Linked DNA regions of Drosophila melanogaster. The protein of the gene in region 2 interacts with the protein of the main gene of each other region in a pairwise test. Each region holds a gene or a part of one and is shown on either strand. Other genes may lie near its edges.

What was found.
Region 1: the proteins of CG31226 (region 2) and Sik2 interact in a two-hybrid assay, tested with the Drosophila melanogaster proteins (one large-scale study listed by BioGRID).

Annotation. Positions count from the first base shown.
Region 1 is NC_004354.4:2,055,638-2,063,847, reverse strand, and holds the start of Sik2 (Salt-inducible kinase 2), read left to right. Parts: upstream 1-1,932; 5' UTR 1,933-2,226; intron 2,227-3,003; 5' UTR 3,004-3,134; coding exon 3,135-3,749; intron 3,750-3,819; coding exon 3,820-3,883; intron 3,884-4,086; coding exon 4,087-4,373; intron 4,374-4,429; coding exon 4,430-5,527; intron 5,528-5,582; coding exon 5,583-5,864; intron 5,865-5,924; coding exon 5,925-6,019; intron 6,020-6,080; coding exon 6,081-7,728; exon of another isoform or gene 7,729-7,737; intron 7,738-7,791; exon of another isoform or gene 7,792-7,822; coding exon 7,823-7,930; 3' UTR 7,931-8,210. Other genes in the region: CG4281 (uncharacterized protein), read left to right, coding at 1-901, 957-1,113.
Region 2 is NT_033777.3:18,850,677-18,853,638, forward strand, and holds CG31226 (uncharacterized protein), read right to left. Parts: upstream 1,123-2,962; 5' UTR 1,048-1,122; exon of another isoform or gene 1,043-1,047; intron 991-1,042; 5' UTR 975-990; coding exon 816-974; 3' UTR 754-815; intron 701-753; 3' UTR 629-700; downstream 1-628.

The DNA.
Region 1 (8,210 bases), on a different chromosome or scaffold from region 2:
TTGATGCCTTGTTATTGAGTACGCCACCAGCTGCTCCGCTGCTGCGCAAAAAGGCGCAGGGGCAGGCGCCGGGACACAGCAGCAGTAGCTCATCCAAAACGGAACGTCGCCGCCGCTTCCAAACGTTTCCACAGCCTCAGCTGCAGCTCCAAGCTCAGTCAATGGATTGTAGCGAACTTTATGACTTCTTAAGCTCTAGTTCCCTGAGCTCGTCCACCGATAGCGAGGCGGAAGTAGGTGGTCATCGACGGCACGACACCGATCGCGAGGGCGACGATGAACTCACCGACTGGCCGGGAAACGAATTCGGACCCGGAGCCAGATACGATCCAAAAAGGAAGCTTACAAAAAAATCACTACTGCCTCAAATTCGCTCGGATGACACAATTGGAGAAGATGACACTCTTATGTCTGGCACCGAAGCGGGAGCGGTGGGTATGGAACCGCCTTCGAAGTCTCCAGTCCAACTTCCAGAATCTCTTCAGGATCTTTCCCGCTTCCAACCAGCCGGCGTCTCCGAGCCTATCGAGATTCAGAATGCCTGCTCAGAGATGGAAACAAATGCAGATGGCACCATGCCGGCTTCCCGCCAAATCGAGAGTGAGATGTCCGGCGAAACCTCTAATCCGTTTCTTTCCTCGTCGCCTCCTGGACACGCCCAGGGACAGGAAGTACGTGAGATACGAGCAGGGTGTCGCCGCATCAATGGCGAGCGTCCAGGATTCAGCATCAAGATGAGCGTCAATGAGCGCATCGCCCGATTTTTGCAGGATTCGCAACAGACACAGATCCGTTTGCCGGATATAGAGCTTTATGAGACCGATAGCATGAGTAATCTGGCCACGCTCTATTCACTTACCATGGTGGTAGAGCACGGATGTACAGTGCTCACCAAAACCGGGTAAGGATAAAGGGATACTTATTCAAAGTCTATAACTAAGTTGTTGCTCTTCCAGGAACACTACGCAGACGGTGAGCATGGATCATCTTCAACAAGGTCTGCAGCCGCGTGCAGATCTCTTTGGCGATTTTAAGCGGCGCTGCTACGGTGAGGAGGGAGAGGAGGAAGGAGAGCAGCAGCAGCCGCTTCAGCAAGATCCCGGCCAGATTTAGCCCCAGAAAGCAACACTATAATCCAAACAAGACCAATCCCTAGCAAATGCAAACGTACAGCCATCAGCACTCGAGGTGAAACTCTTGGCATACGCTTGCATTTCTAGGGTGGAAGAAACCCTTAATCTATGAATGCTTTTAGCTTGTTTTTGTGAAATCTGTTCCATGTACATAAGTTGCATCGGTCCGTGTATATACTAACTGACTTCGTTAGGGAATGGCGCCAGCAAGACGGATACCGGATCCCAGATCCCGTCGGTTTGGGCTCACGCTTGGAAGCGAGCGAGATGACACGTTTCAGAGACAGAGAGAGAGGACCGACCGAAAGCCGTCGGCAGCCGTTCCACTGTACAAAATATTTAATGTAAGACCTTCAGCGAATATGAATATAAGAAATATATATGTGTGGTCATATCCGGAATACATGTGGACTTCATTTTTACCTAGAATGTGGTGGATATTTTATATAAAAGAGCAACATCCCAATACAAATCAGTAGCAAAAGTATATCTGAGTATATCTGAAAAAAATTTGAAAATAGTTCAAACTCTTTCTGTTAGTTGTACCGGTCACTGTCTATCTGAAAGCTGAATCGGTGAAACGGGTTATATTGCATACTGTTTTACGATCAAAGGGCGCGAAATTCAAATGAATTCCATCAAACTTCCCACCCTCGCGAAAAAGTTGGCGCATGCTCGATGCTCGGCACTTGGCGCTCACTTGGCAACCCTCATGTGTGTGCTGGTGAGGGTCGGAAATTGAGGGGCGAGTGGGTGGAATGGGGCAGACAGCGCCGAGCTTGCGTCAAATACGGACGCCAGTTGGACGCAGCTCGGGATTGGAGGCAGCCACGTTTCCTAGCCATCTGCCGTGTGTGTCGCAGCGACTGTGTCTGTGTGTGCCGTGCTGTGCTGTTCCGAGCCGCATGTGTGGCGCTCCGCGGACGCGATGTAAAGCGGATCCTCGCCAGCGTTTATCCTCTCATAGCCAGTAACCGGATTCGGATTAAGCTGGCCCAGCCTGTAGCCTATTCTCAGTTTTTGCCACCGCTCCTGCTCGAAACTTCTTTGTCAACCGGCGAGGCTTGTGCTTTTAACGCTTTCACCAATAACGGTATTTTTGGGGAGAGCAGCTTTAAGGGGAAATCTCCTGGCAGTGGTTCTGAATCGGTTGCACTGCATCCTGAAGGAAACAACAGTGGCCACTGGCACCGCGGAGCATTTCCACGATGCGATGCGGTTGCTCTGCTTATTGATTTTTCACCAACACTCACCCACACACATACACTCGCACGCTGGCACCCACACACTTTCAGCCGCACACACAGTCAGTGCTGGCACCTCGGCCATTTTGTGGCTGGAAAAAAAGCCATTTTGAAAGCGGAAGTGCAGCGTCAGCCATTTTCGTTGAATGTCTTCCTTTTGGTGGGCACTAACAAATGGATCTGCATGTCTTTGAGGACCTCAGCTAATGGTTTTTAAAATATTTGTCTGTACCTGGTGCGCATATGCGATATGCGAGTGAAATAACACTATTATTATCGTGATAGATTAAATTTAAACGTGAATCCAGTTTACCATTGCAATTGAACTGTGGCAACACTGCCTGAGAAAGAGAGGGAGAGTGCAGCTTTGGTGGCTTGTGGAGTCCGCGTCCGAAAGCCATACACATACACACTCGGAAAGCCGAGGTAATCTCTTATCAAGCGACGACTGCCCACCCCTTCTCCGGAGTCATCCCGTTCTTTATTGCACTTACATATTTTCTATGCACATATATGTACATGGGGAACACACAACATTAGTCGCACATCCATTCAAAAAGTTTCAGTTCATTATTGTATTGTAATTCTACCCAAAATATACCACTCTACTTTTTCTATTCCCGCAGAAGCGCTGTCATGAGACAGGAGGTGTGTGTGAGCATGTGCATCACCATCTCGCTGTCGATCGCGATCTCCCACTCCCTCCGCCTCGCGCTCTCCGTGTGAGATTTCCCGCCCAGGGTGGCGCAGTTGGAAAATGAGCACGTGCGAGGCGGCGGCCGCTGGCGAGAATGGGAGCCAGGCCAAGTCCGAGGAGAGCCAGCCGCCGGAGGATCAGAAGAAGAAGCAGCCGCAGCATGAGAGGAACGAGAAGCAGCTGGATAAGCCGCCGGAGAATTTGCCCCAAAACGGGAAAACCGAAGCAAAAGGAGCAGAAGGAGCGTGTTCACACCCCCCACTGGATGCCCTCCGGAGCTCAGTGCTCCTGGATGCCGGTGCTGCTTCGCCCTCGATAGACGCAATAGTGGCTTGCAAGGATGCACTGCTCGCCCAGAAGCTCTTTGCCAGCGGGGGTGGCTCCACGCCCGGTCCCAGTCCCACATCCTCTGCGGTGGGCGCGGGCGGTATCAGTGGCAAGGACCTGCTCAAACTCAAGGAGCCCATGCGCGTGGGCTTCTACGACATCGAGCGCACCATTGGCAAGGGAAATTTTGCAGTGGTCAAGCTGGCCCGGCATCGAATCACCAAGAACGAGGTGGCTATCAAGATCATTGACAAGTCGCAGCTGGACCAGACAAACCTACAGAAAGTCTACCGCGAAGTGGAGATCATGAAGCGCCTGAAGCACCCTCACATCATTAAGCTCTACCAGGTCAGCAGAATTTGCTGTGGCAGATCCTGCCAAGAATCGTATTCCTAATCCCGTTCTACCAATCCCACAGGTTATGGAGACCAAGAATATGATCTACATAGTGTCGGAGTATGCCAGCCAAGGAGAGATCTTCGGTGGGTTGAGGCTTCATTTTAAAAAAAATTTTTTAAACTCGGACTGTAGAGTACAGTACTCGATTTAGTTAGCAGACTTTTGAACCCACATTGCGCACAGACTTGTTGACCTTTGGACGAACAACACTAGCTTTAAATCTCTCGCATTCTCTTAAGTTGATAAGGGTTTCAATGAGATGGACTTACCTTTATATTTTATCCAGATTACATTGCCAAGTACGGGCGGATGTCCGAGTCGGCGGCGCGCTTTAAGTTCTGGCAGATCATATCGGCGGTGGAGTACTGTCACAAGAAGGGCATAGTGCATCGGGATCTCAAGGCGGAGAACCTGCTCCTGGATTTGAACATGAACATCAAAATAGCGGATTTCGGGTTCTCCAATCACTTCAAGCCGGGAGAATTACTGGCCACCTGGTGCGGATCACCGCCGTACGCAGCTCCCGAGGTTTTCGAGGGAAAGCAATATACGGGTCCAGAGATTGATATTTGGGTAAGTGGTGCGAAGTATACGTGTCAATTTATCCAAAAATGTATAATTTCCTGCAGTCACTGGGCGTCGTGCTTTATGTGCTGGTATGTGGGGCCCTGCCCTTCGACGGATCCACGCTGCAGAGCCTCCGGGATCGGGTGCTTTCCGGTCGCTTTCGCATTCCGTTTTTTATGAGCTCCGAGTGCGAGCACCTCATTCGCCGGATGCTGGTACTGGAGCCCACAAGGCGGTACACCATCGACCAAATCAAACGCCATCGCTGGATGTGCCCCGAGCTGCTGGAGCACGTCCTGATAGCCAAGTACAATCTGGGCGCCGAGCGGCAGACGTCCGTGGAACCCAGCGAGGACATTCTTCGCATCATGGCCGAGTATGTCGGCATTGGGTCGGACAAGACGCGAGCCAGTCTTAAGAAGAACACTTACGACCATGTCGCGGCCATATATCTGCTCCTGCAGGATCGAGTTAGCCACAAGAAGGAGCAGAGCAACGGCTTAGGCGCCAGCGCCCTTGCCTCGTCGACCTCCGCCAGTCGGATGATCTACAGCTCCAGAAATGACCACCAACCGACGCAGCAACAATCGCAGCAGCAGTCCAAGACAATATCCACCAGCTCGATCCTGGCCAAGGATCAGTGCCACAAAAGACTTAGCCGCCATCAGACGGTACTCATGAGTGAGCGTAACGCCCACGCCGGCGCGACACCCACAGTTCCAGATCCCGGTCCCGGATACTACGCCAAGTATGGCCCACTGCAACTGCCACTGCCTCTGACGGGCCACTCCCACCTGACTGGGTATCTGAATGGAGGAGGCGTCGAGGTGGATGCCAGCGGCATTCCGCTGCCCATGCGGTACACCCCGCTGCCGACAGCCGCGTCGCCCGCTCCCTCTAACTGCTCATCCACATCCTCGAGGGTAGGACGACACAGTCTAAGCTCCAGCTCGCCGCGAAGCCATCGACCGGTGGCCATTTCGCTCAGCATCGACAACAACCCCTCGCTGGCCAACCTGCGGTGCAGGGAGATGATGGAGGCTGGAGGAGGACCCGTTGGAGCAGTGGGTGTGCCTCTAGCGTCCAAGCAGCTTCATCAGACCATCAGCGAGTTCATCATCAAACAGAGCACCGAAGACTGTCGTGCGCTGCTGCAGCAGGTGAGTTTTCGGCTGATTCTATCCCAAGTTATTTCTATCCTTATACTTTCGGCAGTCCACAGCAGTGGCTGAGGGTAAAGATGATCCGCCAAAGGCGGAATCAAGCGTAGGAGGCGTTCCTCCGCCCGCCTCTACCACACCCACATCCAGTACAGCGGGACCGGAATCGGGATCGGCTCCCTGCCCTGGTGAGATTAACGGCAAGACAATAAAGACTATGTCCAGCTCGAGCAGCTTCGATTCTAAGGCCAATTTGGGCCAAAGCTTTCGCTACAAGATGTCCGCCGAGGCCAGCAAGCTTTTCCAGACTCTCCAGGAAAGCCCACTGCCCGTGGAGGTGAGTGATACGTGTGAGTTAATAATTGCTTCCAGCTGACAAATTCCATTTCCTCTCCAGCAAAGGACTAAGCGTCGTGTGCACGTGGGCAGCACCAATGGCAGCGGCGGTGACTCCGGCCAGGAAACGAATGATGCGAAATCGAATGGCGACAGGTGAGTCTTGCAGTCACAGCGATAGTTTCTTGACTAATGTCGTTTTCTTCCGTTTCCGCAGCCGCTCGGAGAAGAAAGTTCTGGCCCAAGGCAGCTCCAGCACAGATGAGGGCTGCGAGACAGACCAGGGCAACGATCCGGGCTCTGCTTCCCAGGAGTCAAAGGGCAGCAATGGCGGCGGTAGCGGTAACGCCAACGGCGGACCCACCTCGCACTCCAGCAGCGATCTGACGCGGCTCGTTGGAACCACTACCTCTGGACAGAGTCACAAGATGCGCTCGTATGCCAGTAGTAGCTCGTCCAGTGGCGTTCTCGCCGGGAGCGCTGGTAGCTACTCCAAAAGTCTGAGCCAGAACCTGAGCCGCGGCTCGTCCAAGAGCAATTGCAGCGGTCCCTACGATAGCTTGGACTTTGCCTTGCCTTCTGGCAAGGGCAGTCTACCCTCGTGCATGGGCTCAAGTTCGATGCTGGCCACGCCCACTCCGGCCTCGGCATCGCCAGCGGGAATCTCATCGGAGCATTCATCGGAAAGATCGCTGTACGGGAGCCACAACTCCTGCATCCATATGCCAGGAGCTCTGCCGTTGGGCTTGGGCCTTCCTCAGAGTTCAGCCTCCACGCCCACGCCGAATCCTACGCCTCCGCCAAATGGCGGTGGTGTCACGTTCCTGGACAAGCGTTCACCCATACACTTTCGCGAAGGAAGACGGGCGAGTGATGGCCTGGTGGCCCAGGGCCTGCTTAGCTCTGGTTCCTTGCTGGGCACCAGTCGTGTGTACGGAAGTTATCGCTACGAGCAGGCCAAGCGTCACGGTTGGCTGGAGATCCAGCAGCTGCAGCAGCTGCAGCAGGAGGCGGCTGTGGGGCATTCACACCCACATGCCCATCAACATCCGCATCAGCATCCGCATCCTCATCCCCAAGCGTACGGCTTGGAAGAACTCTGTCAATTTCCAAATGGTCAATTCTATGCTCTGCCGGGCAAGCATCATCCGCTGCTGACTTTGCCCCATCATCATGCGCATCCTGCGCAGCATCACCATGGCCATCATTCGCTGTTCCATTCAGGCCACCAAGCCACACCTCTGCTCCTGGAAGCCGCTGCTGGTGGGGATATGTATGGTCATGGATGCTATGCTCCGCCACCGCCGCCACCAGGGCTATACACGCACCATCAGTTGGGCGTGGGTATGGCCGTGCCCATGTCCCCGATGCAAAAGCCACCGCTGCAGCAGCAGCTACTGCAGCACCGCCTGCTTCAGCAGAAGCGTCAGTTGTTCCAGAAGCAGTACGCACTGGAGGCGCAGCTAGCCGGTCGACATCACCACCATCAGCAGCACAGCCATCACCACCATCACCACTTTGGCCACAGCCTGGGTCCGCCACCGCCGCCGGCTCCGGCTCCGGAACATCACCTGGCCGACGAGTTGTACGAGTTGGCCTTGCTTGATCGGCCCAGGAGCGGAACTCCTAGGCTTCAGCACTCCATGACCATGCCCGGAGCTCATGCCTTCAGTCAGATGAACCTCAAGACTTCCTACATCAGCCAATCGGACCAGGTGCCTGGTGCGGCGCCTAATGGAGCTGGTTCCGGAGGATCAGCTGCTGGGGTATCATGCTCAGCTCCACCGTCCACGGCGCCGGGTACGCCCACGGTCAAGTGCAAGCCTACCACGCCCCACGGTCACAGCCTGGACTCCGACTATCATGTAAGTAAGCTAGATAACGCATATTAAGATGATTTCTCAGGCATCCCAAGTTCGTATATAAACCTTATCCGTTTTCTCCTTGTGTCCTCCGCAGACATCGACGCCGGTGCTCAGCCTTTTCACGCCCAATTGGCAGTCGCTGGTAAAGCCGCTCAGCGAGAGCCCCATCCTGGAGATATCGGAGCACCTTGAGTCAGTCTGAGGCCGTGTGTGATGTTATTCGGTGGAGGGGTTGGGGCAATTCGAATGGGAGTAGATTTGTAAGTGGAAGTCGGTGGGAAAGGAAAAGGGGTAGGACTGGACATCGAACTATAATGGGGGCTGGACCGGGACCGGGGCCACCTTTTTATTAAGCTCGCAATCGCAATTATGAATTATTTGATCCATATACGATATACACCCATACATACATATAAATAGCCTATATAGATATGAATGCGGGTCGGAATCGGAATCGGAGTTACATCGATTCACGTTTATTG
Region 2 (2,962 bases):
GAACTTGAGCGTATCAATCGGGCAGACTGGTTGTTACCATTGCTCCCTACCTCCTGCTGGGCTGCTCAATGAAATCAACTAGAAATTATGATAATGAAAATGCCGAGAACTGGAAGTTGTTCACCTTGGCTGCTTCGTTGGTTCTTTTATATCTCTGCTGGCACATCGCCTTGTTCATCAAGTGTACACGGTGCGTATGAGTTATTTGATTATGTTAAGCATACGTCGTAGCGTTGCCGCGCATAATTTCAAATTACTCGCAGCACACATCGGCATTTCAGCACCTCGGCATCAACATAATAAATCCGAAAGGGCCGTCTCCTGGCAAACAAGCTGAGACCGACTACCTACCTATATATATATTTATATCCCACGCACTTCGTGGAGTGACAAAATCCGGAAACAACAAGCGACAGGCAGCGGGCACTCATCTTCAATGCATAGCGAAAGATTGCTTGTCAAGACCTGATTATGTTAACTGCCTGCGAAGGTAGAGTCCTGAACACAGGACACAAGATTCTTGAACCTGAAATTAAGGAAGCTTTTGCACACCATTTAAAAGTTGTAGGCATTAGACACTTGGTACTTTGCACGACCCTCACGACCCCTTTACAATAATAATAAACGTATTTTGAACACTTTATTTAATTAACATTTCTCTCTTCATGTGGGACGGTAATTTAGTTTCCTTGCAAGAGATCTGTTTTGAATTGTATATTAAAAATAGAATTTTTAAAAGTGTATCCAGCTTACGTTCAGCAATTCCAATTTTTCCGTGTGAGAAAGTAGCTCAATCCTACAGCTCATGACAAAAACTAGCAACATCCACCTCTCCAGAAACCGGGTCCACTTGCTCCGCACCAGGAGTTAAATGGTCCGTTGTAGGGTCCAAAGCACGGATCGTAGAATCCACTTGGTCCACTGCCTCCGCAGGGACACAAGGCGGCGCAAGGATAGCAAGGATAGCTGCACATGGTGAATTGATTTGTCCTGCAAAACTTGGACATAAGCCATAGTCGAGATAAGAGTACAATTAAATTACGTTACTTGTTTTGCCGGAAAAAAAACTAGGAAATTTATTTAGGAATTTTTTGTTCCGTTACCGTCCGAAGAGTACGAATTTCAATGTTCAACTGAGCTCTATACGGTGATCGATCGGCAACCAAAAAATTGTTCGCTTGATTTAAAACTCAAGGCTAATAAGATGGTAAAAAATATATAATTATAAGTATAGTAGGCTTTGATTATACAGTTATATTAATTATGCAAACAAGTTGTTTTATTATAGCCTGATTATATAGTGCAAAAAGCAGGATTAAAACAAACTAATTGTGAGATACATTTAAGCATATAATATTTACAAATGGCCAGACGTTAATGGTTTTTTACGAACTTCATTCAGAGCTCGTTAAAAAAAATAATTATAAAAGCTACAAAAATGTAGTCATAGTCATTTATACAAGATTTATTTATTCAACGAATGGGCTTAAAACGGTTTAGTCCGGATTTTCTGACATTCTTAAACTTTTCGACAGCAGAGGTGTCAAATTAGTTTCTTAAAAATAAATACAATTTTAATCCATAAATCTATGAATTGTGTATTACGGAGATACAATTCCCATACAAAATGATTGTATTATTTAGTTGCTGTACCTTACAACTTGAAGTCCAAGCTCATTTTTAGTGCAGCAGAATCCACAGCTAAGCCAGTGAAATCCGAGTGCGCATACATTAAATTATATGCACATATATCTGAGCTCCAATTGCACTCGCTGTCGCTGCAATTTCTCCGCCTGGCTGGCTTCCCTTGCATTCCCTGCAGTCCGCCAAGTGCAGAGAGATCTCCTAATGGAAGACGATGGGCATCCAGGACCGAGAACTGAATGGAACTGCATTGAGTGTTTGCCGTGGCACTCGCCATAGTTCGTCCTTTGTTGTAACTGTGGTAAATCTACTTTTAATTCGGCGCACGTTTTCCATAATGAAATCGGATTTGTGGGCCGTGGCAAAATCTGGCGCGGAAAAGCGATGGGGCAGGGGCACGGGGTAGGGGTGCTGGCCATAAATTGAGCACTCAGCAGCTCGCTGCGCTTTGTCACGGTTTCCAAAAATGCCGCGAATACTGTGCAAAGAAAGGTCCCTAAAATGTTGTGGCAGTACGGCTGGATAATGCCGCATTTTGAGGAATGCTCGAGTGCAGCGCACACTAATGGCAGCAAATATATTATGGCTGCTATCATTCGCATTAGCTGGCTGAAATGAAGCTAAAAAAAAATTTCACATGCACGCTGTGGCAGCAAAAAAAGGCAAATGGTAAATGGCAGCAGCCAGGCAGGAAATTGCGCTACTCATACGCACCGTGGTCCCGTGTTACCGTCTGCTGCATTATCTTAATTTTAAAGCGCGCTACAGAACGCTCCGAAAATTGTGCTCTCGTTGGCCATGTTTTAGTTTCATTAGCTCGGCTGAAAAGCCATTTATCAAGCTGTCAGCGCCAATTATTTATATCTCCACTCGTCGGCGTTCACAGCTCACAGAGAAATATTATAGAAATATGTATTATCATGGCTCGGCGAAAATAAGTGCGTCGGATCAATCCGCATTTTGTGTTAAATGGAATGGCAATCGCCTGGCGTTAAATTATATTAATTGCCAACCTCTTTGGCTCCGCAGCACTCGTGCTTATCGCCAAACAATTTAAAGTTTTAATCTCTTGACGCATTTAACCGAATGGCCCGGGGCTTTCCGAGCAGCATTAGCCTGGTAATTAACCAACAGCCCGAATTGGGCAACATGTGCCCGGAATCGCCTGATCCAGCACACAGCACGGTGTGTGTTATATACGCTCAAGTTGGTCCGACATTCATGAAATTCGAGAACTACGGACTACATGGACCGACAGGAAGTGCATACTTGGCAGCAGGCGAATCGCCTCCTTCTGGCGGCAGCAAGCCGTAAATCC